7 linked regions of the Coturnix japonica genome follow. The protein of the gene in region 4 interacts with the protein of the main gene of each other region in a pairwise test. Links are inferred from orthologs where the notes say so. Each region holds a gene or a part of one and is shown on either strand. Other genes may lie near its edges.

Region 1 (4,004 bases), on a different chromosome or scaffold from region 4:
ATGGAGCTAGGAAGCTGCTTCTAACACAGACGACTTTCAGAGGCTTTCCTATACACATGCAGTAACTGCTGCTGGAGCTACAGAGGCAGCTGGAATTACCTGCACACAGGTGCTCATTGCCTACCTGAAGGCTGTGCACACACCTGCAGCAAACACTAAGGCCCACATTTGTGGGCAAACTAATTCACTTGACTGTTAGCACAAACATGCACAGGTATTGGCTGTGTGATTCCAGCACATGGGTGAAGTGGATACACTGAGTGCAGCCAGGTGTGCACAGCAGGGAGGACCGGGAGATGACTCTATAAAAGGAGCAGTAACTTCTATCAGTCAGTGCATCCAGACATTCACTTTTAATTCACAGCTCTTTTTGATTCTGTTTATTACATTGCTCCCTCCCGTACTTTAAGTGCTAATTATGTTATTACATCTAGAAGAAAAAAAATAGCACTTAAGAGTTTTAAAGTGCATTTTCAAACCGAGACTTAAGTTTGTCAGCTTCGTATGTCACACAAAGCGATGGAGCCCAGCAGCGAAGCAGCAGCGGCAGCACTTGTTGCCCCGGGTTCCCGTCCCGTCCATCAGCCGAGCTGCGAGTCCCCGGTAGCTGTGGAGCAGCACAAACCTCCCTCCCCGACCGGATCCCTCCATCTCCAGCCGTTCCCCTTGGCCAAGCTGCGCTCACACACTAATACCAGCACAGCTCTACAACCGGGAGGACAACTTTAGGAAAACCCATCCAGAGCCAGGCTCCTTCCCGGCAGCTTTTTCCCCTCTCATACTTTGGGGAGCTCCCGGCCCTGGGAACAGACACAGCGCTCACCGCAGCGGCTGAAGGCAGGCGGGGCTGAGGGCAGCCGGGCCGCCCGTCCCCGCCCGCCGGGGCTCCCCGGGACGGGAGGAGACGAGGCCGAGCCGCCCCCACCCCAGCGCCGCCCGCCCTGCGCTGTGCCCCCGTGCGGGGCGGGGGCGGCCCCGGCGCTGTGCGCGCCCGCCCCGGCCCTGCCTGGAAGCGGCGGGGGCAGCGAGGCGGGGAAATCACGTGAGGGCTCCCCCGGAGCGCCACCTTCAGGGCCGTACCAACAACGGGACCGGGGGGGGGGAGGAGGCGGCGATGCGGCGGGACTCAACGCGACGTGGAACGGAGGAGCGCGGCCCGGCCCCGCCGCACGCAGCATCTCGGCCCCGAGCGCAGCACAACGCACGGGCTGAGGGCGCGGGGCGGCTCGGGGCGGCATCGCGGTGCCCCGGTACCCGGTAGGGCAGCGGTTGGTTGGTACGAGGCCGTCGAGCCGCCCAACCCCGCTCGGAGCTCGGGCCGCGGTAACCAGATATTCAAAAACAAGACGTCAGCCCACAATGCCCCGCGCCGCCGGCAGCATTACCTCATCCCACAAGGCCCCGCGCCGGCGCTGAGAAGCTTCTAGGGGCGGGGTGTCCATGGCGACCGGCTGCCATGCACCGCGCCGGGCCAGCGCCACGCCTCCCCCGGGACGGGCGGCGGCAGCCAATGGGGAGCGCGCGGGGTGACATCATGGGCTATTTTTAGCGGGCTCCCGGTCGCTGATAAGTGAAGGGCTGCACGGAGCGAGCGGGCTCAGAGCGGGGCGGGCGGCAGCGAGAATCAGCCGCCACAGCGGGCACGGCCGAGCGGAGCGCGGAGCCGGGAGGTACAAGCGGCAACGGCGGCAGGAGCGGCCCGGCCCGGCACAGCGCGGAGAGGCGGCCCGGGGAGCAGCACAGCGCACAGAGTACAGAGTACAGCGTACAGCGCACAGCGCACAGCGTAGGCCCGGCGGGCCCGGCCCGCGCCGGGAGGAGCGGCGTTGTCCCGGCGAGAAGTAAGGAAGGCTCCGGCTTGCTCTTTCCCCCCAAGCCGCTTGGCCGGGAGCGGTGTGGGGCGGCTCCCGGCGCCACTTTTTGGGCTCTGTTCTATGAGTGCAAAGATGGAGCCTACTTTCTACGAGGATGCACTGAACGCCAGCTTCGCGCCGCCGGAGAGCGGCGGTTATGGATATAATAACGCCAAGGTGCTGAAGCAGAGCATGACGCTGAACCTGTCCGACCCGGCCAGCAGCCTGAAGCCGCACCTGCGGAACAAGAACGCCGACATCCTCACCTCCCCCGACGTGGGGCTGCTGAAATTGGCCTCCCCGGAGCTGGAGCGGCTCATCATCCAGTCCAGCAACGGGTTAATCACCACCACGCCGACCCCGACGCAGTTCCTGTGCCCCAAGAACGTTACCGACGAACAAGAGGGGTTTGCCGAAGGCTTCGTGAGAGCGCTGGCGGAACTGCACAACCAGAACACGCTGCCCAGCGTCACCTCGGCCGCGCAACCTGTTAGCGGTGGCATGGCACCTGTGTCCTCCATGGCCGGCGGCGGCAGCTTCAACACGAGTTTGCACAGCGAGCCCCCGGTGTACGCCAACCTCAGCAACTTCAACCCCAACGCGCTCAATTCCGCACCCAACTACAATGCCAACGGCATGGGCTACGCGCCGCAGCATCACATAAACCCCCAGATGCCAGTGCAGCATCCCAGGCTTCAGGCTCTGAAAGAAGAGCCTCAGACTGTACCTGAAATGCCGGGGGAAACCCCTCCCCTGTCCCCTATTGACATGGAGTCGCAGGAGAGAATCAAAGCCGAGAGAAAACGCATGAGAAACAGAATCGCGGCGTCCAAATGCCGGAAAAGGAAGTTGGAAAGGATTGCCAGGTTGGAAGAAAAAGTGAAAACTTTGAAAGCCCAGAACTCAGAGCTGGCATCCACTGCCAACATGCTCAGAGAACAGGTTGCACAGCTTAAGCAGAAGGTCATGAACCATGTCAACAGCGGGTGCCAGCTAATGCTAACACAACAGTTGCAAACGTTTTGAAGAGACTGACTTCAATAGGAACTGTGATGTTGTGGTATAACTAAACGACAAACCAAAAGCGGCGGACGCGTAAAGCTCACGGTAGAAGCTGGGAGGCTGTGAGTCCTGCCTGCGTGCTGCAAAGCACATGTGTGCAAAGACTGGGCAGCCTTCAGCTCGAGTTGGTGAAGCAGCCGGCACCGCTCCGAGGTGCTGATCCTGCTCCCATGAGGCGACAGATCTTCGTTTAACATTGACCAAGACCTGCATGGACCTAACATTCGATGATCATTCAGTATTAAAGGTTAAACTGCAATAGAAACTGTAGATTGCTTCATGTAGTATTCCTTAAGAAACAAACAAACAAACAAAAAGCGGGAGGGAGGTTTGTGGGAGGCTGATAAACAACCAAGAACTGTTGTTCCTGCCTTCAAGTAAATGGTGTATGTACATATCCTTTTTTATTTTATTTTATGAAAGTTGATTAATGTCAATAAACTACTTCATGACTTTGTAAGTTATTTTTATGTTGTTTATTTGGGTACTGCCCAGTATTGTTTGTAAATAAGAGGCTTTTTTTTAGCACTCTGAGTTTACCATTTGTAATAAAGTATAATTTTTTTAATGTTTCTGTTTCTGGAAAAAATCTAGAAGGTTCTATTATATTTAAAAAAAAATAAAATACTTAAAATGCATTTCCTCCTCACACCTTTTTCATTATTATTATTATTATTATTATTGCTAGTATGTGAGTTAGGAAAATGCCCTTAATGCTGGACTCTAAAGGGCAGGGATTATGTGAAACTCGCTCTGTAAGTGCAGGCATGTCCTGGAGAACGTGTGAGGAGGAGACGGGGGGAACCAGATCCTGAGCACTGAGCAAACAGAACTTTTTGAGTTGTCTGGGAGTTCCAGTTCCTAACCTTAACCTGGGAGGTTATTGTGTGTTGTAGTGGCCCTGCTGGGGCGGCTGACTTTGGCTTTAGGCAGGCTCTAGAGATGGTAGAAAGCCGGTGTGTGAAACTGCTTTGCACTTGTATCTGGCTGCTTGTGCTCTTGCATGCTTTTTATTAAGCCAATGCCCTCGAGCAGGATCAGGCAAGGGGCTGTTTGCTTTCCTTTGCAACAAAAGTGCTCTAGACTTCA
Region 2 (4,213 bases), on a different chromosome or scaffold from region 4:
ATAGGGGGAAAAGGTAGTGTAGGAGGGAAATTAAGACAGTGTAATAATCCACTAGCCAGACACACAGGTTAAATGTAACACAACCATACCATCAATGAAATACTTAAAAATGAAAATAAATTAAGGTTACGCCAAAGTTCCTGCTTTACTTTTGCTTTTAAAATCCTCAATATATAGTTCATACCACTGCATTATGGATCATGGCAGACTTTATCACTAGCATTTGAAAAACTGCTATAGAAAAGCTTCTATGGAAATAAGACTGAAGAAACTCCTTCACACAACTGTGATGGCTACAGAAATTCTGCTGAATCAAGTGTTCAGACAAGGGCCATTAGTTTTCAAATCACTGTGCATTTCTGTACAGGCTTGGCTGAATGGCTGCGAGAATGGAAATGAACAGAAGCAAGCTGAGATCCACACATTCTTGCTGTTCAGATGCTGCCCTACCCTTCTGTTGCTCAGCCAAGCTGCGCATTTTGTTCTCCCTGATACCGCCACCCCAGCAGGAATGCGGCTTTGCAGAGCAGAGGTTGTTGGTAGCATTTTTACATGTTTTAGAAACCAAAATCTTGTTCTCATAACCATGCAAGCCAGGTTAACATACGCAGGCATAAAAGGCCTTGTGCTGCTTTACCTGATACTTAGTGCTTCAGACCACTGCTTGCCCTGTGGAAGCCAACTCCCTGTAAAGATCATTATAGAATGTTGTTGTTCTTCTAGACAACATAAGTACCCCAGCTTGCTATTACTGTGCCCTGCCTGTTAACTGTAACCAGATAGGAAAAACCTAGGTAGTGCTTTGCAGGAATTGCTCTGTAGGTAGAAAAGCAGTTCACCAAACAGGACAACAAACTCCCTACGGTCTTTGCAGTTTGTAATATGTAATGGAGAAAAGAAACAGCTTAAATGCACTAAAATGTATTTAAAGGAATTCACCCAATTATGACTTTCTGATTCTACAGTGAACCATCCTGATGAATTTCTCCCTATGCTAAATGTAAGAAGGTGACTGTACATCTGTGAAATGCTGTTTCCATAATAGTAAGCTCCTTGCTGACTAAGGATTCAGATCTGCACTTACTACACAAATCTTCTAGAAGAGAAAAATATTTAACGCCTTTAAAGAAATACCCTAAGCAGTTTCTGGTTTAATTGTATCAAATCTTCAGTGTTAAACCTAAAAAGATCAGCACACAATGATGGTTAAAAGAACCCCTTATTTGTTCAGTTACTGCATGGGTGGTGCAGACAGGCTGCGCCTCCAGAGTTCATCCCGCCGTGCTGTGGCAGTCACTGCTGCCCACTGTTCTCTGGATTCGTTGTGGTGCTCTCAGTGCCAACAGGTTGCACATTGTCTGCGAGACTGTGTGCGTGCTCAAGGAATAAGTCTTTCAGTACACTCAGCTCCTTGGTCAGGAGCTTAATTTTCGCCTCTAAACGTTCATTTTCTTCTTTGAGCTGGGTGACCCTTTGCAGCGTGTCTTGTGCTTTCTGCTTGCTTTTTAACCGGCTCTTTTTCACTGCCATGTTGTTTCTCTCTCTGCGCTGACGATACTCATCACTGTTTCTATCCACAAAGGAATTTTTCTTTCCCTGCTTGCTCGGAGGCACAGCTTTGCCTCCACCACCAGGACTAACGGGAACCAGCTGGGGAACCTGCTGCAAACCACTGCTGTGCGCCTGGGTGTGAATCACGCTTACTCCGTTCGCATCTGTAGCAGTGTTCTGTGGGGATGTCTTGCTCATTTGGACGGGCTCTTCTTTGACACAACCGAATATCAGAAGACTGAGAACTCTTTTCTAGATCGTGTTTCCAGCAGGTCTCCACATGGGTTAAGGGCAAGGTGAACCCTGAAGGAAAAACAAATGCTGTTAAAGGTGCTGTGTTCAGTCTTACACATGGCTGCCTTTGGCATAACGTACCGATGGCACATCTGGCAGCAACACACCAAAACTGTGCTGGAAGTGGAACGGCTGCCAACTGCTGGGACATTTCAGAAGCCTCTCGAACATATTTGGATTGGAAGGGACTGTTACTGGGTCATCCAGTCAAGCTGCTTGCATTGTTCACTGCATTTACTCAGTTATTCCAAAGCCATCCCTGATGGATGGGTGTCTAGCCTAGCCTTGAAAAATCTCGTTTCACAACCTCTGTCTTGGCAACTAGTTCCACTGTCTAACTTTTCTCCCAGTTATATAATTTTCTTAATTTTTAGACTGAATTCTTTCTTTTGCAGCTTAAACCCATTAACAGCCTCACTCTTGGCCAACAGGAGTGCTTGATCCTTGTCTCCTCCAGACCATCCTTCTGCATCCATGCACGTTCCTTGGTGGTCTTTGCTCTTCTCTAGAGACAGCTCACGCTCCCTTGAACATCTCACCACATCTTCCAGTGCTTTCACTGGCTGTGAGATTATTTTACTTGTTTTTGAAGATGGAGCCCAAACTGATGATTAAGGTTTCAGCAGAACTCAGTGCAAAAATGCACAAGAAGAGGTGGTGCGTGCTGTGACGGCTGTGACTGAATGACCCAAAAGGAAACCCTCCGCCACAAACAAGGTAAAGCCAGCCAAGCCTTTAACGCTGCTGTGAGGGCAGGTGGGACAGGAAAGCAGGGTGAGAGCAATGTGAGAATCACTGCACTTGAAAGACAGGACTGACAAGGAGACATGGACCACAGCTGACCTGCCCACAACACACTTCCTCCGCTGTGTCTCTCCCAGCCATCAGTGTCCATGCTCCTCCCCAGCAGGATGCAGACAGTCTGTGGCACAGACACCCTCCCACCTGGGGCTCTGCCTGCTCCCACTCCTGCTGGAGGTACAAGACTCCGGTGCTGCCACAGCTCCTCTCCTGTCCCCAGGAGGAGCCATTGGGAAAGAGCAGCTGAGGTCAGCAGAGCACAAGGCGAGCTGAGCAGTGCCCAGCCCAGCCCTACATCTGACAGGAGGCTGTAGTCCTGTGTGGCAATGCCCAGCCTGTATTCAGGGGCTCCTCAGCTGCATGCTGCTCCTGTATATGTTTTCCACCACAACCTCAGTGTCATTTTACATTCTGCTGGGTTATCATTAATGAGATAAAAATGTTACTGTCAATTGCACATTTTCTTTCATCATCTGCAGGAACCTGAACTGAGTGCAGCTGCACAGCGCGGCTCAGTGACATTCACAGCAGAGCCCAGTAGTTTGGCTTCAGTGTTATTCAAAATCAACATTCTGTCACCATTTCGGTCACTCCCTTAAAGCCAATGAAAAAGGTGTGAGAGTCGTGTGAGTACAACCACACCCCTCAATGCATTTTCCTGTTTTCATATTTCAGGACAGAAGGATGTCAGGGCAGACATCAGACAACAGGCCTCCACTCCAGCATGGCACTGCTCTGCTGGGCAGCCCAGCTCGCTCAGATGCCACATCTACCACCTGTGTTGTGTTCACTGCAGAGAACAGGCAGCCCTGCCCTGGGAGCATCACAGCCCACCAACGCCTGGCAAGTTCCTTCACAGCACCAGGTTTCACTTGCTATTCTCTCTTTACTATCAAAACTATTCAGTATTGTTCCCAGATATGCATAAAATCTCTATCTATGCCCCTGCAATCCAAAGGAAAAAATGAAGCGTTCCATTAAATTGAAAAGTAATGGGATAGTTAAGTTCTCAGTGAAGGGGAACGTGGGTTGAGCAGGGAGACAGAACCCAAGTGTCACATCTCGCAGGCTGTTGTTAGCCCTGATGCACAGATCTCCCCCAGTTCCTGACACTGGAGCTTCCCCATGCTGTGTTAGCTATTTCTTCAGTGGGACACTCTCTCTGGTGCTCATGTGGCAGCTCCGGGCTGGTTTCTCCCAGCGCTGCTGTTTCTCCAGCGGCCGGAGCTGCCCGGTTCCATGTCGGCCTGTGGCTGCCACCCACCACCACCCAGCAAACACAATAGCGGCAGCCCGGGGCTCCGCTGGCCGCAGCTCCTTGGGGATGTGGAGTCCCAGGCACATCAGACCCTTAATAAAGGGCTCTGCCTTCTCCCCAAAGTTTGACGTTTCCAAACGTTTGGCTCGGTACAAACAATAATAATTTGTTAATTAGATCGTGTTGGTTGTTTTGGTTACTCGGCTGCTCTGACACTGCTGCTATAGCCAGTTGTGTGCCGCCTCCCCTGGCGGCCCCGCACACGTTCCCGGCCGCTGTAATGCCCGGACCGCGCCGTGGGGACGTTGT
Region 3 (3,237 bases), on a different chromosome or scaffold from region 4:
ATCCTTACCTTGTACTCCAGGGTTTCTTTAAGCATATTTTCTTCCTCTTGGGAAAAATTCAGTAACACAGACACAGCCTTAATAAGATGGAATGCCTGCAAGAGACCACAGTGTCTTACTGCTTGTGATGCTCTCAGCCTCTGTGTTCTGGACTACAGTGTGACAGTTTTTCTGCAGGCTCAGTCACAGACTTTTCAGTTAAAACTGCAAAGAGCAGAACAGTAAAACCTTCCACTATGCCCTATTACTTGGGGAATATAAAGGAGCTCCAAATGCACAAGGAATTATCTCTTATAAGTATTACCTCAACAGCGTGTGCTTTATATCCTTTCTGGTTTCTCTTGCTATCTTTCTTATGTACACAGCTACTATAACCTCATATACTCCATATGCTTTTTAGATTAGTACAGAGGGAATGCCTCGAAGCTTCATGTCTTTAACTTCTAGACATAACTCACTCCCACCTTTCATTTAGTTCCTAATGATCTGTGCTCCCAAACATGCTGCTGTTTTGCTTTATTGTGCTGCATCAATTACTTTTTATATGCAGAACTACTGAGCTGGCATGGAAGTACCAGTTGCCAGTTTCTAAAGACAGAGAGACTTAGAAGACAAGCATACCCAACCCATCTTCCCAGGATTCTTTACCTCAGACTCCCGACAGGACATGAATTTTAATACAACATGTTTAAGGTACTCAAAGTTTATCTCCCTCGAGTCATTTAAATCAGAGTTGTTTGTGACAGTCACAGAAGCATTAGGCACTTCAGAATTTGTTTTTTCACGTACTTCGGGTACCTCACTGTCCGGCCTTATTTTCTAAAGAAAAAAAGAAAAATCAGTTGTGTCAGTTTGATGCTGGGAGAAAATCTGGGTCTGAGATACCAAATACACAGAGCATTTGTACCCACGAGACGGGTACAACCAGGGCATCAGTAGGATAAGCTTCTCATTCTTCAGGTGATGACAGCAGAGGAGTGTATCTTTACACCTCCCTAGAGAGATCTTAATTGCTGTCAGTTACATCTGTAAGATCCAAACCAGGAGAATTGGCTCCAGGCTAGAAACTGACATCTGATTATTGTTCTTTCACCTGTTCTGTGCTTTTCAAATACACAGAATGCAATTCTCAAGTTCAGGCAAAAAAACCAAACATCACAAAATTTGAATATTTTAAACCCTCTTTGAAAATGTTTACAATACAGGGACTTTCTATTGGAGAGGGAAACTATTTTAAGAAGAGCTTCCTCCTGTGGCTGAATTTTAGCTGAATGACAGCCGAGAAGCAACCACAAATCTCAGTCATCCAATATATGGAAACATTTAAAACCAGACACTACCAGATACAAGTCCCTAGCTGAAATCCAGTGTTGCAGTATCTGAATAGTGATGGCTACCCAACACATCACCTATAAAGTAAATACAGACCCAGAATGACATATTTCCTTATATTAAGGGTGCACAGATTTGTCTGCAATCACAACGAAACTGTGAGCATTCCTAGTAAATAAACAAACAAACTGAGGCTTGCAATCAAGTCTTTGGAATTTCTACTGTAAGTACCTTTCAGCAAATGCCAGCTGGGGAGACTGAGAAACCGAACACTTACCAACTCCTTCTGGAGAGTTTTTTTCAGTTCTGTCATTCTTTGCTGTAGCTGCTTTATCATCTGTAAGCAGAGCAAAAGATGGCATTAATACAGCATTCAGTGTTCGGGCACACGTTGACACAGAAGTATCTGAAGAGAAAACAAGGTGAATGAATGTAAAGAATAAAGCATTCATTAAAGAAACTGAAAGCTCCAAAGAAGCAATCTGGACAACTCACAATTCTAACTGCCAATGTTAGCAGGTGTGCAATAGGAAACTTGGGCTTCAGTGTGACAACATGATAGAAATTAATCAAATTCAAACAAAAGGGAAGCAGGAAAGCTGTAACTGGTGTCATCTGGTGCTTCTTTTCTCCAGAATAGGTAAGGAGCAGAAGCAGAAAGTGTCACAGAGATTTCTCTGCAATTCTGGCTGCAATTTCCATTCACTACTGCTTTTACAGTCCAGGCTGGGGAAACACTCATAGAACGCTGGATTCAGATTGGATCTCTCAAGATTGTAAGCCTGTTCAGGCCTTTCTAAAGCTTTGGTACCTATTATTAGGCTTCCTAACTGCAACAGAAACTCCTGCTTTTTAGTTTACCTTGTTTTTCTCAACAACTTGCTGTTCCAGCTCTCTGTTATCCTTCTGAAGTTGAATGACATCTGTAGCTGTTACCTCTCCATTCTGTTCTATCACACGATTTTCTGGAAGATGTAAGTGCTCATCCAAGTCTCTTGCTGATTCTTCTAGTTCTGAAACCTACACAAATGAAAACAGCAAATTGCAGAGGTATGATATTTGCAGCCCATTAACAGTCTTCAGGGAGAAAGCAAAACTTAATTGCTTTTGTATGTCTGTTTTGGTGTGTGGGAGTGGGAGGATAGCGGTGGTTCTGGTTCTTTTTTCACTGTGACCCATTGCTTGTTTTGTAAACCAGAAAGCAGTACTGATAATCCATTCCACATCACTCAGTGGTGTGTGCTTTTTGGTGCTTTTGGGTCTCTGCCTCCTTTAATCCCCTCAAGACATTTTATAAGTGAAATAAAATAAATTGGTGTCTTTCACAAACTAGTCACAGTTGTGACAGCACACAGCTTTCTTGCAGAAGATGGGGAACAACAAATAATGGCATATCACCAAGGCGTACCAGAAGTGGGATCTCCTGCACACCTACTTATTTTCCTGAGAAGTGTAAATAGAGTAGCTTTGTAATCGGCTCTCACGTTTTTCTCATGTTCTCTGGCCAATAGGAACTCCTGTATCTGTAACTTCAATTCTTCTATTTCCTTTCTTGCTGTTTCTTCTTTCTCCAGTGCCTGGTTATTACATGCCTCTATTTCAGATTGTAACAGATGTATTTGCAGGAGTGCAGCTTCATGATCTAAGGATGAAAAAACTTGCTTAGTACAAATCTACTGAATCAAATGAGATTTTCTCATTATTTTTCTTAGACAGAACTTAGTGCAACAGTAAATCCTGACCTTTTTGCTTTGCTCTATAACAAAGACCCGGAATTTAAACCACCCAAGCTCACATGCATATTTTTGCATAGGAGCAATCTATCTCTTCAAACGTCAGAGTGATTTTAATACTTAAAAGCACAATTAGCAATTATACCTCTTCTAAATGAACACAAACCTCCAC
Region 4 (4,000 bases):
TGTAGGGCTGGTAATGTGGGAAAGCAACCAAAGGCCAGGTAGTGAAAGAAAACATGGGTAGCAACCTTCCCAGCTCACCTTCCTCACTCAGAGCTGCATATGGTGCTTTAGTGTCCTCAGAGAATCACGAGGGGACTGAAAACATCTGTTCCCCATGGGTTTCATACAGGGCTAGGTGAGGACCAGAGGAGCTGCTATAAACATACAGGGCCAGACGTGATGGAGCAGGGCTGCCTTCTCATTTGGCTGATTTAGTTCAGATAAAACATAATGCAAACCTGCTTGAAAACCTTCCCAAGGTGAGGCTGTTTACTAGGGCCGTGAGGCTGTGTAGATGACCCACTAATGCTCTCCTCCATTGAGTAATGGCTGCTCTTGCATCTCCTCACAAACCACCCCAGGCCAATGTTACAGCTCAGCTACAAAGCTAGCAGGGTGTCAGGGACACAAACACACAGCCCTATCTCTGTGGGGCAAGTAGCAGGCAGGGAGTTTTCCACTTATCTGAGGGAGCAGTGACTCTCCTCAGCAAAGTTCTGCCCTCAACTCTGCTGGACGTCGTCTGGAGGGGCTGTTAAGAACGCACAGGGAGAGCGGACAGGACTTCGTGTGGAGGGCATAAAGAGCTGTCAGTAACAAAGGAGGCGTGGTGCTTCAAAGAGAACACGCCACGGAAATGTGAAGCAGAGAATAGAACCAGCGCCACCGCCATTTTACGGCTCCTCGTTCTCCGTGCCTCTCACCATCTCTCCCTTTTCGGGCGTCAGCCAATGGCGGCTCAGCGCTCACACGGTTACCACGCCACCAGCCAATCGGCGCGCAGAGCTCACTGGCTGTGTTGGCGGGCAGGAGCAGCAGCCCCCCCACATCCCCCTGCGCTCCGCGGCGGGCGGGAGGAGTGTCCTCAGCTGCTGTATCACGTGGCCTCCCATCTCGGCTGGGCGGTGTTTGCGCGGAGGAACACCATATAGTCCCTCTGTCTAGGAGCCCACGATGGAGGGAAAAGTTATTGCTGACAGCTTTTTTGGTTAATCTTTAGCAGGATGGAACGAGAGCGGCCCAGAAAGTTGAAGGTCTACAGGCTGAAGGGTGCTGACGAGAGGCGGGTGACGAAGAGCGGAAGGACACATCAGGCCGGATCTCGTTTTGATTAGCGTGAAGGTATATAAAAGCGGAGCGCGCGCGCTGCCACCTCATTGTGTGCCCTTGGCTGAGCTGACAGGTTGTAACTGTGACCGTGCGTAGCACCTCTCCGCGCGGCGCTGACCGGAGCACCAACCAACCCCCCCCCCAGCCGCCATGGCTCTCTAAGGGCGGCAGGGCCAGCGGCGGCATCGGCCAGTGCAGCGGGCGCAGCAGCAGCGGCGGCGGCCTCGGCACATCCCCGGCATCTGCAACCATGGCGTGAGTAGCGCGTGTGGGGAGTGCGCCTTGTGTGACAGCCACCCCCTGCTTCATAAAGCGGGGTTCTGGGGTGCGAAACGGACGCCCCATAGGAAAAGCTGTCTGGTTAATAGGGTGGGGGCTGGAAACCTACTTGAGGGTGACGGAAATGGCAGGAAATGACACTTTTAAGAGGAAAAATGAGCCATAATACCCTGTATTTTAGAGAAGCCCACATCCTGAAAGCTCAGGGCTGTTCTATTTTGTAAGGCTTTTGTGAGAATATTAGCTCCCTAGACGGTTGTCTTAGTAGTATAGGGGATTGTCTTTATAGAGGCGTTCCCACAGCGGATGGAGGAGTTAAACGGGGCTTCCAACGAGCGGGCATTAAGATAATCCCTTAATGCTACGGCGCTGCTGGCCGGGGGAGGAGGAGGGTTGTGGGGGGAGGGGGGGGGAATGGTGTCGAACCCAGCCTGATAGAAGGGTGTAAGGCTGTCGTGGTATTTATCATCCGAATCCACCTGGTCCATAAGTCAGCCTAGCACCAAAAGGTGCTCTGTCGTTCTATCGTCCTGTCACCTTCCCCTCCCCCCCACCCCTCCACGTTGATGGCGTTCCCATCGACACGGGGTGAAAACGTGTCACGGCACAAAATGGCGGCGGGGCCGGGTGGGGAGCGGTAGGCGGCAGATCGCGAAATGGCTGCGGCGTGGGCGTGACGTGAGTCAGGGCGCGGTGGGCGGGGCCTCGGCGGGGCGTGGGGCTGGCAATGCCGTGCTGGGCAATGGAGATGCGAATAGAAAAGCTTTTATGAAAGCAAACAAATAAAAAGCAAGAGTTTGAGGCAAACAGCCCTGAAAATGCTGCAGTCGTACAAGTCTGGTGCAACAGCACTCTCCCTGAGGCTGCGTTTTGTTGTGAAGGCTGTTTTTCCAGTAGAACAAGCACTGATGCATGCGAAAAATGTTTGTCTTACAGGTTTTTCAAGGCACCGCACAGCAGCACTGCTGTAGTCAACAAAAAGGCCCTCTCCTTGTCTACATCCTTTGACGTCAAAGCGCTAAAACCTGACCAAGATGAGCCTCTTGAACAACGAGATGCTGTTGGGGGAGTCCTCCCCCCTCAGCCAGCCGTGTTTGGTGGCTGAGGAAGGTCTGGGACTCCTCGATGACTACCTGGAGGTGGCCGAGCCCCTCGGTTCGCATGGGTTCTCCAGCGACAAGGCTAAGGCAGTCTCCTCCAATTGGCTCACTGTGGACAGTTTAGGCAACACCATAGATAGCAGCCAGGGTAAGGCACTAATTCATGTGCAGGAAGTAACACCAAAGGTGATGGCACATAATAAATAATGTAATCCTCCTGTTCAAAGATAAATTGCACGAGTTCTCTAAATGGAAAGGTAACATCACGTATGTGTCTTCTGGCCTGGGAAGCATCCATACAACACTGATTATACACAATAGCAAATGGCTCTGTAGTCGACCAGCCTGTGGAAAAATGACACTTGCATTGCCCTTTTAATAACATGCCAACTATTAAGAGTAGCCTTCCCTGGAAGAGGTCACAAGAAACAAGTGTGGTGGTGTGTTTCAAATAGGCCTGAATTCTTAGAGAGCTAAGACTAAGAGGGATGGAATGTCAGCAGCTGACAGATACATAGTATCATGCAGACTTCCCCAGTTCATAGTAGGGGGAAGGGGTCTGGTAGTCGATCTTTTTACCATTAAAAAGAATGGGGGAAGATATAACTATTTCTGGTATAACTGGTATAGAATCTCTGTGTTGGCTCATCGAAAAATATACTGTTTTTCTCCTTGTTTAGAGGATGCCTTCTCTGGCATGGAGTGGATGGTGGAGAAGATGGATCTGAAGGAATTTGATTTTGATGCCCTGTTAGGTATGGAACATCTGGAAGCCACCGTCTCACCAGACGACCTGATGGCCACGTTGGAAGACACGTGTGATCTCCTGTTTAACCCTACCACCCAGGAATTTCACAACAAAGAACCTCCACTCATACCTGATCTAATCACCAATCTCCCCGAATCTCCAATTGGAGTAGATCCCATGGCCCCATTAGGCTCCCTGTGGCCTTTTCCCCTCTCCCCAGGGTCTCTGACTTCTGTTCCAGACCATTCATTTAGTTTAGAACTAGGTAGTGAAGTGGATGTTCTGGAAGGTGAAAGGAAACAGGAGGCCCCCACCTTTCTGGTAGTGATCACGAAGTCAGAGAAAGAGGAGGAGAACCATTCTGATGATAGTGGAATATGCATGAGCCCAGACTCTTATTTGGGAACGCCCCAGCACAGTCCTACCAATTCACTTGGATCCCCTAATGACAACCAGTTCCCTGCAGATGCCACCCGTGGCTCTCTGCGTTCTAAACCATATGACCACCCTGCTGAGAAGGTAGTGTCAGCAAAGGTGAAAGGAGAAAAGAAAATAGATAAGAAATTGAAAAAGATGGAGCAAAATAAGACTGCTGCCACACGTTACCGGCAAAAGAAGAGGGCAGAACAGGAGGCTCTGTCAGGGGAGTGCAGAGATTTGGAACAGAAAAATCAGGCCCTGAAAGAGAAAGCAGATTCCCTGAGTAAGGAAATCCAGTACTTGA
Region 5 (4,004 bases), on a different chromosome or scaffold from region 4:
GCAATAGCAAATTGAACACAGCTCAAACAATGTGAATTCTCCATGTATTCCACATGGTTTTGTTGTGATTTTCATCTTTTTTTTTTTGTGCCAGGGGTGGATTCATTGTTTGACCAGATGTAGGCAACACCCAGCAAACACTACATGAAATATACCTGGATGAATAGCCACACTAAAGCACAAGCCAGGGAATATAAGAGTGAAGAGAATCATAGAATGCCTTAGGTTGGAAAATTCCTGCCAAATCACCCAGTTCAAACCCCTGGCCATGGGCTGAGTTGCCAACTACCAGATCAGGGCCCAGAGCCCCATCCAACCTGGCCTTGAACACCTCCAGGGATGGGGCACCAGCACCTCACGGCCCTCTCAGTAAATAATTTCCTCCAAACACCTGACTGAAATCTCTCCTTTTTTAATTTAAAGGCATTCCTATTTTTCTTATCGCTATCAGATAACGTTAAACGTTAGTCCCTCTCATGCCTAAGGGCTCGCTTTAAGTGCAAGAAAGCCACTAGCAATCGAGTTTTCTTCTAAGGCAGCGCCGTGCCAGCAGAACATCTGACCGAGGAGCATTGCCATCCCATAGGACGGGCACTGCCATGACATCTCCCAAAGCATCACGTGAGATTCGGGTCTGTAAGTCAGCCGGCTGAGACACGCACGCCAACTATTTCGACACCCGTAGTATTAACGGGGGTTACAGTGCAAGAAACCACAGGTACCAGGGAATTACAGTACCCTGGGATGAGAGCCTGATGTAATAGGAAAGCACGTGTGGAGGACGCAACCAGAAAGAGCCTGGAAAGGTGCCTTTAGTGTCAATGTAGCAGACTGCCAGTGGCTCGTAGCCGTGTTTCGGGACCGGACTAATAACGTAGAACACGAAAAGAAGGTGAAACCACACACCTGGGGAACGTACCGAGGCACGGACAGAACAGCCGGCCGAGAGCACTGCTGACAGAACAGCCGGCCGAGAGCACTGCTGACAGAACAGCCGGCCGTGAGCAGTGCTGACAGAACAACCGGCCGTGAACAGTGCTGACAGAACAGCCGGCCGAGAGCAGTGCTGACAGAACAACCGGCCGCTCGCGGTGCCCGGCGCCGTGGGAGGGTCGCGTTCCCGGCACCGCCGCCACTGCCGGGAAAGGAGCCGCCTCCGCGGGCACCGCTGAGTGGCTGCGCCGAGTCGGGGCGGAGCGCGGCGGTCGCCGCTGGCTCGGCCCGGGCCGGGCCGGGCCGTCCCCGTCCCCAAACAGCGGCGGAACGAGAGCGCGGGCGGTGCCGGCCGAGCCGCCACAGCTCCACAGCTCCACGCCGCCGTTCCCGAGTCCGCGCCGCCGCCCCGCGCCATGGAGATCGAGCTGCCGCCCGCCGCACAGGTGAGGGCGCCGCGGGCACCGGGCGGGAACCGGGGCTGCGCGCCCCCGGCTCCCCCTCCCTCTTGTCCCGGCCGTTGGGGCGGGGCGGGCCGGGCGGTCACGAGGCCGGCGGGGCACGTGGTGCCGCCCCGCCCCGGGGGCAGCGCTGAGTCACGGCGGGGGCCGGGCCCCGCCCCCTCGGTACTTTCCCCGTCTCCCGGGCGGGGGGTGCTTCCCTGCCCGCTGCGCAGTTCGGGGCCAGGTCAGTCCGTGGCGAGGGGGGAGCTCGGCCCGGCCCGGCCCCGCCCCGAATACTTGTCCGGTTCCTTCTTGAGGGCCTCCCGCTGTCACGCGGCCTCAGTGGGGGCAGTTGCACAACCGCGTGTTGCCCGTGTCGGGTCGTGGGGTGCGGGGCGAGAAGGGCGCGGGGAGGGTGTGATTCTGTGAGGGGCCGTGGGGGCCGCGATGGAAGGGACCCCGCATCACTTCAGCGTCCTCCTCGGTGTGGGCCGGGGCGACTCTTGTGTCTCCTCCTGTGGGGCCACCTGTCCGCGTTGTGCTGCTCGAGCCCCACAGCCGCGGGTTGTGTCAGATCTGTACTGTAAAGGCGCTGTGTCTTTAGGTAGCTAATGGATTATCTTTTATTGGTTAAATGGAATGCTGGATGGGATTCATTTGGGATGTTGTCTATTACTAATGACACAGGTATCAAAACTGCTGAGGAAAAACGCTCTGGAACGTGAGTCAAAGTGTTTCAAGTCAAGTTCACAAAAGCATTATGTACCCATAATTGTTTACTGCTTCAGTAAGCTGAAAGGTGCTGAAATGGCTGGGCCTGGTGCTTCTAGCCTTGTCAGACAACATGACAAACTCATCAGCTCTCACTAAGCACTGAGCCTTGTGAGAAGGTGAGCAAGATTACTTTCTCATGTAGTGTTTGCACTGAACACTAAAAGTGAAGGCCAGTGTAACCATGTACTTGAGTATCTGCTCAGTGCGTGGGTTTTTCTACCTAGAAAAGAGTTTCTAGTTACATTAGAGGTATCTCTTTAGTCTGTAGGGCTTTACACAGGTATCACATGTCTGTTTTTGTGACGTACTACATAAGGTTGTCTAGTGAATGTCTGTTCCATAATGGGCTGTTCTTTCCATACGACACCGATCATGCAGGAAGTGACAAATGAGTGCACCGCTCAGGCCTGACAACAGGCCTTTGATGTGTTTTTTAGCTCAATAACTGTTAAGCATAAGTGTCTGTAGATAGATTAAGATATCTGTATGGATACCTATTTGTCCATCTATATATGTGGATACGTTTCGGTATCAGAAAACATCTATGTTTTTTGTTGGTCTCTCAGAAGGAACTGAAGGCTGAAGGAGCTGGGTGGTTCAGTGTGGAGAAGGGGAGGCTGAGGGGAGGTCTCACTGCTCCGTACAGCCGCCTGAAAGGTGGTTGCAGTGATAAAGGTGCTGGTCTTCTCTATCAGGTGACAAGAGATAGGATGTGAGGAAACTGCCTCAAGTGGCACTGAAGGAGGCTTAGATTGAATATCAAGAGCATGGAAGGGGTGGTTAGGCATTGGAACAAGCTGCTTGGGGAGGCAGTAGAGTTGCCATTGCTGGAGTTATTTAACAGACCTGTGGATGTGGTTTGGCAATGGACTTTGTGATGTTAGGTGAATGGTTGGACTTGGTCTTAGAGCAATCTTAATGATTCCATGACTCCTAAAATTACAGAGAAGAGTGGTGGAAGTAATAAGAATACTACAAGCACTGTCTTAAGTAGAAATGCATTTTTTAGACCCTTTTAATTCTGATGTGCCTACCCTGCTTATCATGCTGCACTGAAAAATCTTTCCTCAGAACTTCAGAATATCTCTCAGTTAAACCAGTGGTAGATACAATGCAGTGCAGTACCTGTGGCTGAAAGAAATGTAGACTAATAAAAGATGACCATGAGAATCCTTTCAATGCAACAGCTAATTGGATATTTTATTATTGTAGTACATATCTATCGTATGGACGCTGTTCTGTATTTTGTATTTAAAATGTGCTGGGAATTTACATTGCATGAGAAGTTGTTTGAAATACAAGGAGTTGGTTGCATTTGAAAATGGGACTTGAAGAAGCTTGCGGTTAGAACTCAAAGTAGGAGAGCACTTTGGCTTTGGAAGTTGGGGTTTTTGTTTTTGGTTGTTTTTTTGTTTGTTTGGTTTTTTTTTTTTTTTTGGAAAAATATGTGGAAGAGACCAAACTGGGACAAAATAGAACATTCAGTATAAGCAGAGAGCAGCTGGATCATCTCGTGCTTTAAAGAACTTGAGACATTTTTATAGGAGTGTGTGGGTGGTTGGGAAGCTTTGTGTATGTTTCCCACCAGAGTTCATGAGCTAGAATAAAATTTGGCTCTCTGTCCATTACTTTTTTCTTTCTTAAACCGAAAAAAGCAAAGAGAGTATAGCACTTATCCTAAATGACAATACAGAAGGTTATGTATCACCATGACAGCCAAGATCACTGTTAAAATTATCAGATTATTATTAGCTATTCTTGCCCCTGAATACTTCAGTTCTTATAGGTTTTTTCCTCTTTGTCTTGAATTTGCAGAGCGAAATGCTGTGTGCTCCTTTCATGATCCTGGCTGAA
Region 6 (3,931 bases), on a different chromosome or scaffold from region 4:
GGGAGACTTGGTAAAGAAACATCTCTCCCTGACAGCACTTTTCAGGTGAGCAATTAACACAACCTGTGCCTATATGACAAAACAGAGCACAAAGCACACTGTTAAATGTTACACTGAATTAAGTAAGCACCTCCAAACAAGGATACTACAGAACTTCACACAGGCACAGCAGCCTTTGTTCAGTACCAGAGAGCCAAGTTTTTCCTGTGTGACTGCTGATTTACAAAGGACACATTCATCCCTCACACATAAGGGTTTTGCAGCAGTTTGCCTTCGAGAACACTGAGTAGTATTACAGCATACCCCAGGCTCAATCCTAATCCAGGTGACACAGCAAGAAAGGGCTGCTCTCTGCAAAGAGCTAAGGATGAACTCGGAAATCTCTATGGCAACACCACAGGTTCCTCCCTGTTTACCTTTGGGCCTGGTACTCCAAAGGAAGCAAGGAAAGCTGTTGTCACAGGAGGTGTTAATATGTACAACATCCAAAAGCAGGAAAGGCTGCAGACTGCCCGCCACTCAATTGGGATGAACATTTGCTCAAGAAAACCAAATGCCAAAATGAAAAGAAAAATCCTAACTCCTGATGAGCACTCAGGGTGCACCACACACTCCAGTAGATCCCAACTGGGAGGTCAGGTGGTTCGAGAGCTGCAGGAGGCCTGAGCTACGGTGAGCAAAAAGAAAAACCTACCCGAGTGTGCCTAATTTGTGAACAAAGTCAGAATTAACCTTCAGGGTGCTCTGCTTTTGTGAGTACAAAACATTGTTTGCGGTGCTTTTCCGTCCTTCTGTTCATTACAATTAATTCATACTGGTGTTAATAAATCCTCTTTTCTTGCACGACTCCACTACAATTCCAGAGGCAGCGTCTTAGGCCCAAACTTTCTGACTTCATTTTGCTGAAGGGAACAAAGGTTGATTTATGTGAAGTTAAAGAGGGAAGAAGCCAGTGGCAATACAGTGCTTGTCTATGACCACACTTCAGAGTGTTGTGCTGCTGTGTAACTCAGTAGTACAGTGTATGCCAGTAGGTTATTTTCACTGGCCAATCTAAAGGAACTACACAAAAAATGAGTAAGTTTAACAGCAACACAAAGCAAGAAAAAACACACAGAGATGGACACCGACAATATCAAATGCACAGAACATCTGTGGGTTCCTTTACATCCACCAGTCCCACTTTTTAGAGGATCACAGACCTCTAAGCTCAGCTAGTTGTCTCTTTAAATCACATATTTAAACACCTTTCTTCTTAGTTTCAAAACTGCCTAAAAATCCTATTGATAGGAAATGATGACTGGAACTCGGGCTGTAACACCACCATCAGTCTCTTCCCAAAAGAAACCACAGCTTTGATTTCAGCAATAATATGGGGGAACACTGATATGAAATAACTACCTAGACTTGGAAATTACACAACACAAAAGTGAATAAAGAGGAACTTTTCTTCCATTTTCACAAGTTACTGAAAGGCCAATTGCAAATTAGCAAGTAAACGGACAAATATGAAGAGACAAGAACAGAGATAATGCATCTCAAGGTAGTTTATGCATCTCTTTCAAAACTCTATTTTCAATTGCCAGCAGTGCTTGCCAGTATATGCTCACTTATATGCATAGAAAAGCTTTTATTATAAAGGCACTTCACTAAAGAGCTCTTAAAGCACTGTTCAGAAGCACAGCAAAAAGTTACTCAAACACATGTACACACAGATTAGCACGGATTACCCAACATCAATGAGCTGCTCTCCATTGAGATGTTGGCAAGGACAACTCAAGTGTTTGCAGGAAGTTTTGCTTTGCAGTACTGTGTATCCAAAAAAGCCAGAAAGTCAGCTGATGTGCCTGATGCATTCTACGCCTTCCCTTCTGAATCCCTTTGAGAAGATCGAGCTATTTTCTGGTGTTACCCACAGCTCCAGCCCCTCACCGGTACTACTATCAGAAATGACTCCTGCTCAGGCTGACAGCTGAGCAATAGAGGGGAGAGCAGCTCACCTGCTCTGCCAGCCACACCATTCAGTGCTCATTTATGCAAGGACTGACACACAAACGTGGCTTTTTCCCCACGAATATGGCAGCTTCCTTTTTAAACCAAGTTCGGAGATACCAGACTGCTGACTTCTAAGAGCATGTCTACTTCCCTCACAGCAGTTGGTTATGTAGATGTATATACATATACACACTCACTTATATATGTTTGTGTATATACATACAAACCTACAAATCACACACATTTATGTAGTAATATAATTGCTTCCACACTAACAGAGGTGGAATTTTGGGGTTAAAACAAGGAGGAAGGAAAAAAAAAAAGTGTTATTTCAGAGTTATAACAAAGTTTCCTAGGCAACACCGTGCTAACCCTCGCCAAGACAAAAACTCCGGGGAGTGAAAACTAAGCAAGCAAAGCGGGTTTGAAACTAAGAAGCAAGCAACGAGTCTTTGTATCTAACCCCTCCGCCCGCACCGAGCGTCCCAAAGCCGCCCTACCCACCCGAAGCTCGGATCCCACTCGGAGCCCCTCCTGCCTCGGGGAGAGCCGCTGCGGGACGGACCGGGCACCGTTACAGCCCCGCTGCGCTCCCGGCCCCCGGCCCCCCTCCCAGGCGCTGGGCCGCCCCTCAGCCCCCGGCCCCGCTCACCTGGGCCGGTCTCCTCCCTCCCGCTGCCGCGGCGCCGCCTGTCGGTGCCGTCCGAACGGGGCTGCGGCCGCCACATCCCGCCCCCCGGCGGGACGAAGCGGCTCCCCCCGGTCGCGTCGAGCGGGGCGGAAAGCGACGGCCCCGGCCACTCCCCCGGCGGCTCGGAGCCACGGGGCGCGGCCCGCACGACGGCACCCGCCGCCCCTCCTCCGGGCCGGCCTCCTGCGAGCCGGGGGCAGCCTCAAGCCTGCAGCGTACGGGCTTTGGACTAGCAGGGGGAGATGGAGGTTGGGACCCGAAGCCCCGACTGCAGATCGTTTCTGAATTCAGCACGGCACGCACACAACGAGGAAACACGCTGCTCATTGTCTATATGTAGTTTCAACTTGGCACCAGTGTCTGCACTGTGTGTGCTTCCATTACTTCTCATAGAGTCACAGAGCAGCTTGGGTTGGAAGGAACCTTAAAGCCCATCCAGCCCCAACCTCTTGCCCCACATCAACTCATGCTGCCCAGGGTCCCATCCAACCTGGCCTCAGGTACCTCCAGGCAGACAGCTGTGCCAGGGCCTCACTGCTCTCCCAGCGAAAAAAATTCCCCTGATATCTGATCTAAATCTTTTAATTAAAATCATTCCCCCTTGTCCTATCGCTATTACTTTTGCAAGTCTGTGATCCATTGAAGTCAAACCACAACTTCACTAAGATCCTCCAGTCCAACCATCAGCCCACCCCCACCATGCCCACTAGATGACATCCCTTGGTGCCACGTTTCTTGAACACCTTCAAGGATGGTGACTCCACCACCTCCCTGGCAGCCTGTGCCAGTGCCTCGCTACTCCTTGGGAGAAGACATTTTCCCTGTTATCCAACCTGAATCACTCCTTGGCTATCACCATATTCACTATATCAACCATTTTTCAGTATTAATTTCATGTTAAGCATTTTTCAAGGTGCCCTCCATCCTAGACTTCAAAGGTGCCTTCTCAGTTATGCATAGTGCTACCATACATTAAAACATCACCTTGTGTGCTGAGAAGTTTCTATGACATTCAGAGACACTGCTACAGAAAAGCCTCGCTTTAGTTGACAGCTAAGAGCTTACTGATATTCTTGTGTTTCAGTCCATTTATTAAGAAATACAGGACGTGTTAAGAGAGATGTAACCTCATACTCCAGGCTCTGCCCTTCCTGACTTATGAGACAATATAATAGACAGCTGTGCCTCACAAGCCAAAAATAGACACACATCCTCCTTTCATCAAATGTGCAGTGCTGCTGCTGA
Region 7 (3,940 bases), on a different chromosome or scaffold from region 4:
TCTTACTTTGGATAATTAAGTCTGTGACTGTATGGGATGGCAAATCCCTTGAAGTGTTCTGTTCTCCCAAGGTGAAACACACTGTGCAACATGGGTTATCCAGGCTGTGTCCAGACAAGTCATCCTAAGTACTGCCAGTGGGATCAGTGCTGTAGTGTGGTCCTCCTACCTGCTCCTACGCCTGCTGCTCACTAAAGGGGTGGAGGGGGAAATGCAATGCTGAAAACTTGGTACCTGTAATTAACATCAATCATTACAAAAAGTGGCTCACTGCCATGAATTCTTACAAACTCAAGGACGAGGAGGTAGCTGGAGGAATAACCTACGCCCCACACTGAGGTGTCCATGGTGGAAGTTAGTACAGGGCCAAAAAAAGCCTCACTTTAGGTCTGAGAAACCTTCAAAGCGCAGAAGTCAGAGATGTTACAAAAGCTACAGGTGCGGGCAGAGAAAATGCCTTGTGGCACAGCAGCCAGACCAGCCACAAGAACTTTACGTGCTCTCCAGCACACAGAGATGGCTCATCTTCAGCACTCAGACTCTTATTTCCTCTTCCCTGCTCCACTGCAGCCTCCCTGGACCAGCACTGAGCCCCAGGTACTCCCTTCTGGGGCATTCTGGGGCTGTGGGGCCTTCCAGGATGGAGAAAGGACCAACACTTACTGAATCTTCTTTCTTCTCCTCAGTTCTAGAAAATCTGATCCTGGAATCTGCTTTTTCCCCTTAGTTTCTCCAGAAATTATTGTACTTTGCCCTCCTGCTGCCACTCATACATGAATGGATGAAGCTGCTACTTTTCCCCTCGCTCTACTCAGCGTAAACAAACGCTGCCCTGCGATTTGCCCTGACCTGCCAAAACAAGTCCATTTGCCTCCAGCAGTGAGCCCACGCAGCTGCAGTATCTGACCAAATGTCTATGGAAAATGAAAGCCTTCGAGGAAACAGGGAACATCTTGCCAGCAAATATGTACGGAGCAGTTCAGAGGGATGTAAATCACTAAGCAGAGAAGCTGAGTTCAGTGCATCCTTTCTGGATGCTGCTGAGTCCATGGTCTCAGGTGTGTTAACGAGTCTCATGTGTTGCTTTTTCATGTAACAGAAAATATTCAGGCTTTTAACTTTACGCAAGATGCCTTTACAGGAAAACTTCAGAAGCTCATGGCTTAATCTTTTCTTCCAAATGCTGAAATAAATGGTTTCTATCAGACCATTGTCTCCAACACACTCCTATAGGCCAGACTAATGGCTCATGTTGCTGATCAGGTGCCAAGCACTGAAGTTGCAATGCTTTTAGCCAGCCTCTCACGGCTCAGCCTTCTTTCAGAGCCCAAAGGAGAAAAGCATGAAGGCAGCAAGAGTGGCCTTTTGTTGCATTGCCTTGGGAAGAGTAGCACCTGGATTGAGGCTGGGGAGATTGATATGTACTCTGTAAAACCTGAAATGTTGCCTGCACGCAAAGTTAAAAGCTAACAACCCCACCTCACAGCTGAATGTGAAGGTGGTGGAGGTTTACGCTGTCATAGAATATCCCACTGCACAAGGGGTTCAGACGGCATCTGAGGCATTCTGGGTGCAGCCCTAAAAGTGCAGCACACTAACAACACACCCTCTTTCCTAAGCCAGAGGTGTAAGTCTGGCCAGCCCGTGGCACAGCACAGAAGTTCTTGGGGAATGAGAAGCCGCCTTTCAAGCTTCCCAAAGACGATCCAACAGGGTCCTAAAGGAACTGCCCCCTCTAAGACTGCTGTAAAACATCAAGAGAGGTGGGTGCAGGGGGTGGCCAGAGTGGGAAGCGAAGGGATGGAGTGGCTCATTTGCAGTCATGTCATGATTATTTTGCAATAAATAGAGCTTTTGGGAAGTGTCATCAAGCAAACGAGGGAAGAAAGTAAAAATCTGAATTGCTAATTAAAACAAACCTAAAGCACCAACATGACTAACAGGCTTGTAATGATATCATGATGATGGATAAACTAATTCAGTCCTAGCAGTTTCCTGTTAATAATTTTGATTCTTGGCTTAATAACCACAGCTAAGGAAGAAAAATATTAGAGAATTGTCCCATTTCCATAGGAGCCGAGTGTGGCACCTTGGGGTGAATCTCAATCACTCCCATGCACAGGATGCCTCAGGCAATTCTCCTCCTTAACATAAGCATTTTCCACGGCACGCTGTGAAGCGATAAGGCTGCAATTATCACAAGGACAGACTTAACACCCTCCGCACTGGCTGCACCATCAGGTTAAGCCGTGTTTCGCACTCACCTGGTGGTACACGGCCTCCCAGCTCTCCCGCAGCGCTCCCCAGCTGCCCACGCTGGAGGACTTCTTGTCCAGGTAGACTCGGATGTGCTCCTCCAGCTCCTGGTTGACCTGCTCGAGGGCCCGCACCTTCTCGATGTATTCCACCAGGCAGCCGTTCAGGCTCTCGTAGGAGAGCCCCCTGCCCTTCTCCAGCCCCGCGGACAGGGGCACGGCGGAGCAGGAGCTGCGCAGCCCTTGCAGGAAGACGCTGCTGATGCCCAGCGCTCGGCGGGACACGCGGGTGCCCAAGCTGCTCACTCCTCCGGTGGGCACGGCACCCACGTAGACCCCGGGCGGCCTCGACAGGCTGCCCACGCTCACCCGGCGCCCCGGGCCCCCCACGCTGTCGGCGGTGGAGGAAGGGGCTTGCTGCCCCAGGAAGGACGACCGGCGCCTGGGCAAGGGCATGATGCCGCTGCCGCTGCCGCCCGCTCAGCCCCGCCGCCAGCCCCGCACTGGCGGAGGGATGTGCCGAGCCCAGCAGGTCGGGGCTCGGTGGGGCTTTCGGCTTTGTGCGACGGCTTTCTGGAAGGCGGGCTTTGTGCATTGTCCCGGCGGCAGCTGGGTCAGCAATCCATTTCAGGGCAAATCTCCCTGCTGCTGCTGCTGCAAATGTGGCAGATGAACAGCACAATGGTGTTTACGGGCACAGCGGGGCAGGAATTCATGACAACGTACGTGTGAAAATGCCAGCCGTGTTCTCTGCGCTGACGCCTGGATGATCTCCTGCCTTCATCCATCCATCCATGAATTACAAACACACTGGCTGCTCGCTTACTCCTGACAGGCCCTCCTGCAGCAAGATGTTACTTAAAGTTAAGTAAAACCAACCTCTGAGCTGTGGAGCTGTGGTCATGCCCATTCTGCGTTTTGCTGATGCAGGGACTTGAATCCCTCCTCATTCTATGGACAGCCCTGGCCCAGCAGTCTCAGATCAGGGACACCGCACCCTTCACGTCTCCACTTGACACACCGAGAAGGCTGAGGCCTCAAGGGACAGAAGCCGCTCCACTTGCTGAGCAAAGTGAGAAAGGCAATTTATAGAGCAAAACCCAAAATTGGTCCCGTGGTAACTGTTCAGGTTCACTCAAAGAGAGAACCTCGATTTAGCAAAGTCATTCCACACTCCATGTTACCCTCTGCCTGTATCGGTCCATTTCTAACCCACCATTTAAGGTTCATTCGCCTTTCCTATTCCCACACTACTATTACAGCTTGCAATCTGCTGCTTAACTGGGTAGGACTGAAATGCCAGTTTGCTTCAAAACACTGCGGAGATTTCTGTTCCTACAAAGGGGACACTCACCTTCTTAAGAGGCTGTTTGCTCTGTGGGAAGTAATTCGGGACTCATTGGGCTGGAGAAGAGCAGCTGCGTGTCCAAAGTGTAATTGTTAGGGCATTTATGCAAGAAAAAAGGCCATTCTGGTTTCTGCTCTTGTAAAACACTTTCAAAGCTAAAATTAGAGCTCAGGTCTTCCTATCTGAGAGAGATAACATAAAAAAAGTCACTGAGCAATGTTATCGCTCAGGTGGGTTGCCCATCTCCTGGACCTCATGGGTGCGTTAGGTTCATTCATCGTCCTGCTCTGTCCCAGCTTTCCTGCTGCCTCCCTGCTGAGTTTGCAGACCCCAGTGG

What was found.
Region 1: the proteins of ATF4 (region 4) and JUN interact in binary tests that used the Homo sapiens proteins (3 or more experiments, as listed by UniProt). The link is inferred for Coturnix japonica from reciprocal best matches to the Homo sapiens genes ATF4 and JUN.
Region 2: the proteins of ATF4 (region 4) and CEBPG interact in binary tests that used the Homo sapiens proteins (3 or more experiments, as listed by UniProt). The link is inferred for Coturnix japonica from reciprocal best matches to the Homo sapiens genes ATF4 and CEBPG.
Region 3: the proteins of ATF4 (region 4) and GOLGA1 interact in binary tests that used the Homo sapiens proteins (3 or more experiments, as listed by UniProt). The two-hybrid records come from large-scale screens. The link is inferred for Coturnix japonica from reciprocal best matches to the Homo sapiens genes ATF4 and GOLGA1.
Region 5: the proteins of ATF4 (region 4) and NFE2L2 interact in binary tests that used the Homo sapiens proteins (3 or more experiments, as listed by UniProt). The link is inferred for Coturnix japonica from reciprocal best matches to the Homo sapiens genes ATF4 and NFE2L2.
Region 6: the proteins of ATF4 (region 4) and DISC1 interact in binary tests that used the Homo sapiens proteins (3 or more experiments, as listed by UniProt). The link is inferred for Coturnix japonica from reciprocal best matches to the Homo sapiens genes ATF4 and DISC1.
Region 7: the proteins of ATF4 (region 4) and BFSP2 interact in binary tests that used the Homo sapiens proteins (3 or more experiments, as listed by UniProt). The link is inferred for Coturnix japonica from reciprocal best matches to the Homo sapiens genes ATF4 and BFSP2.

Annotation. Positions count from the first base shown.
Region 1 is NC_029523.1:23,599,187-23,603,190, reverse strand, and holds JUN (transcription factor AP-1), read left to right. Parts: upstream 1-1,410; 5' UTR 1,411-1,934; coding exon 1,935-2,879; 3' UTR 2,880-3,504; downstream 3,505-4,004. UniProt on the Homo sapiens protein: Transcription factor that recognizes and binds to the AP-1 consensus motif 5'-TGA[GC]TCA-3'.
Region 2 is NC_029526.1:8,926,415-8,930,627, reverse strand, and holds the start of CEBPG (CCAAT/enhancer-binding protein gamma), read right to left. Parts: upstream 2,801-4,213; 5' UTR 2,689-2,800; intron 1,855-2,688; 5' UTR 1,750-1,854; coding exon 1,294-1,749; 3' UTR 1-1,293. UniProt on the Homo sapiens protein: Transcription factor that binds to the promoter and the enhancer regions of target genes. Binds to the enhancer element PRE-I (positive regulatory element-I) of the IL-4 gene. Binds to the promoter and the enhancer of the immunoglobulin heavy chain.
Region 3 is NC_029532.1:8,061,999-8,065,235, reverse strand, and holds part of GOLGA1 (golgin subfamily A member 1), read right to left. Parts: intron 2,975-3,237; coding exon 2,817-2,974; intron 2,353-2,816; coding exon 2,194-2,352; intron 1,670-2,193; coding exon 1,610-1,669; intron 820-1,609; coding exon 649-819; intron 420-648; coding exon of another isoform or gene 402-419; exon of another isoform or gene 104-401; intron 96-103; coding exon 9-95; intron 1-8. UniProt on the Homo sapiens protein: Involved in vesicular trafficking at the Golgi apparatus level. Involved in endosome-to-Golgi trafficking. Mechanistically, captures transport vesicles arriving from endosomes via the protein TBC1D23.
Region 4 is NC_029516.1:46,171,320-46,175,319, reverse strand, and holds the start of ATF4 (cyclic AMP-dependent transcription factor ATF-4), read left to right. Parts: upstream 1-1,200; 5' UTR 1,201-1,404; intron 1,405-2,364; 5' UTR 2,365-2,462; coding exon 2,463-2,676; intron 2,677-3,208; coding exon 3,209-4,000. UniProt on the Homo sapiens protein: Transcription factor that binds the cAMP response element (CRE) (consensus: 5'-GTGACGT[AC][AG]-3') and displays two biological functions, as regulator of metabolic and redox processes under normal cellular conditions, and as master transcription factor during integrated stress response (ISR).
Region 5 is NC_029522.1:14,053,032-14,057,035, forward strand, and holds the start of NFE2L2 (nuclear factor erythroid 2-related factor 2), read left to right. Parts: upstream 1-1,204; 5' UTR 1,205-1,349; coding exon 1,350-1,379; intron 1,380-1,502; exon of another isoform or gene 1,503-1,620; intron 1,621-4,004.
Region 6 is NC_029518.1:35,652,806-35,656,736, forward strand, and holds the start of DISC1 (disrupted in schizophrenia 1 protein), read right to left. Parts: upstream 2,801-3,931; 5' UTR 2,724-2,800; coding exon 2,648-2,723; intron 2,617-2,647; exon of another isoform or gene 2,500-2,616; intron 1,834-2,499; exon of another isoform or gene 1,756-1,833; coding exon of another isoform or gene 1,731-1,755; intron 1-1,730. UniProt on the Homo sapiens protein: Involved in the regulation of multiple aspects of embryonic and adult neurogenesis. Required for neural progenitor proliferation in the ventrical/subventrical zone during embryonic brain development and in the adult dentate gyrus of the hippocampus.
Region 7 is NC_029517.1:39,194,949-39,198,888, reverse strand, and holds the start of BFSP2 (phakinin), read right to left. Parts: upstream 2,801-3,940; 5' UTR 2,712-2,800; coding exon 2,265-2,711; intron 1-2,264.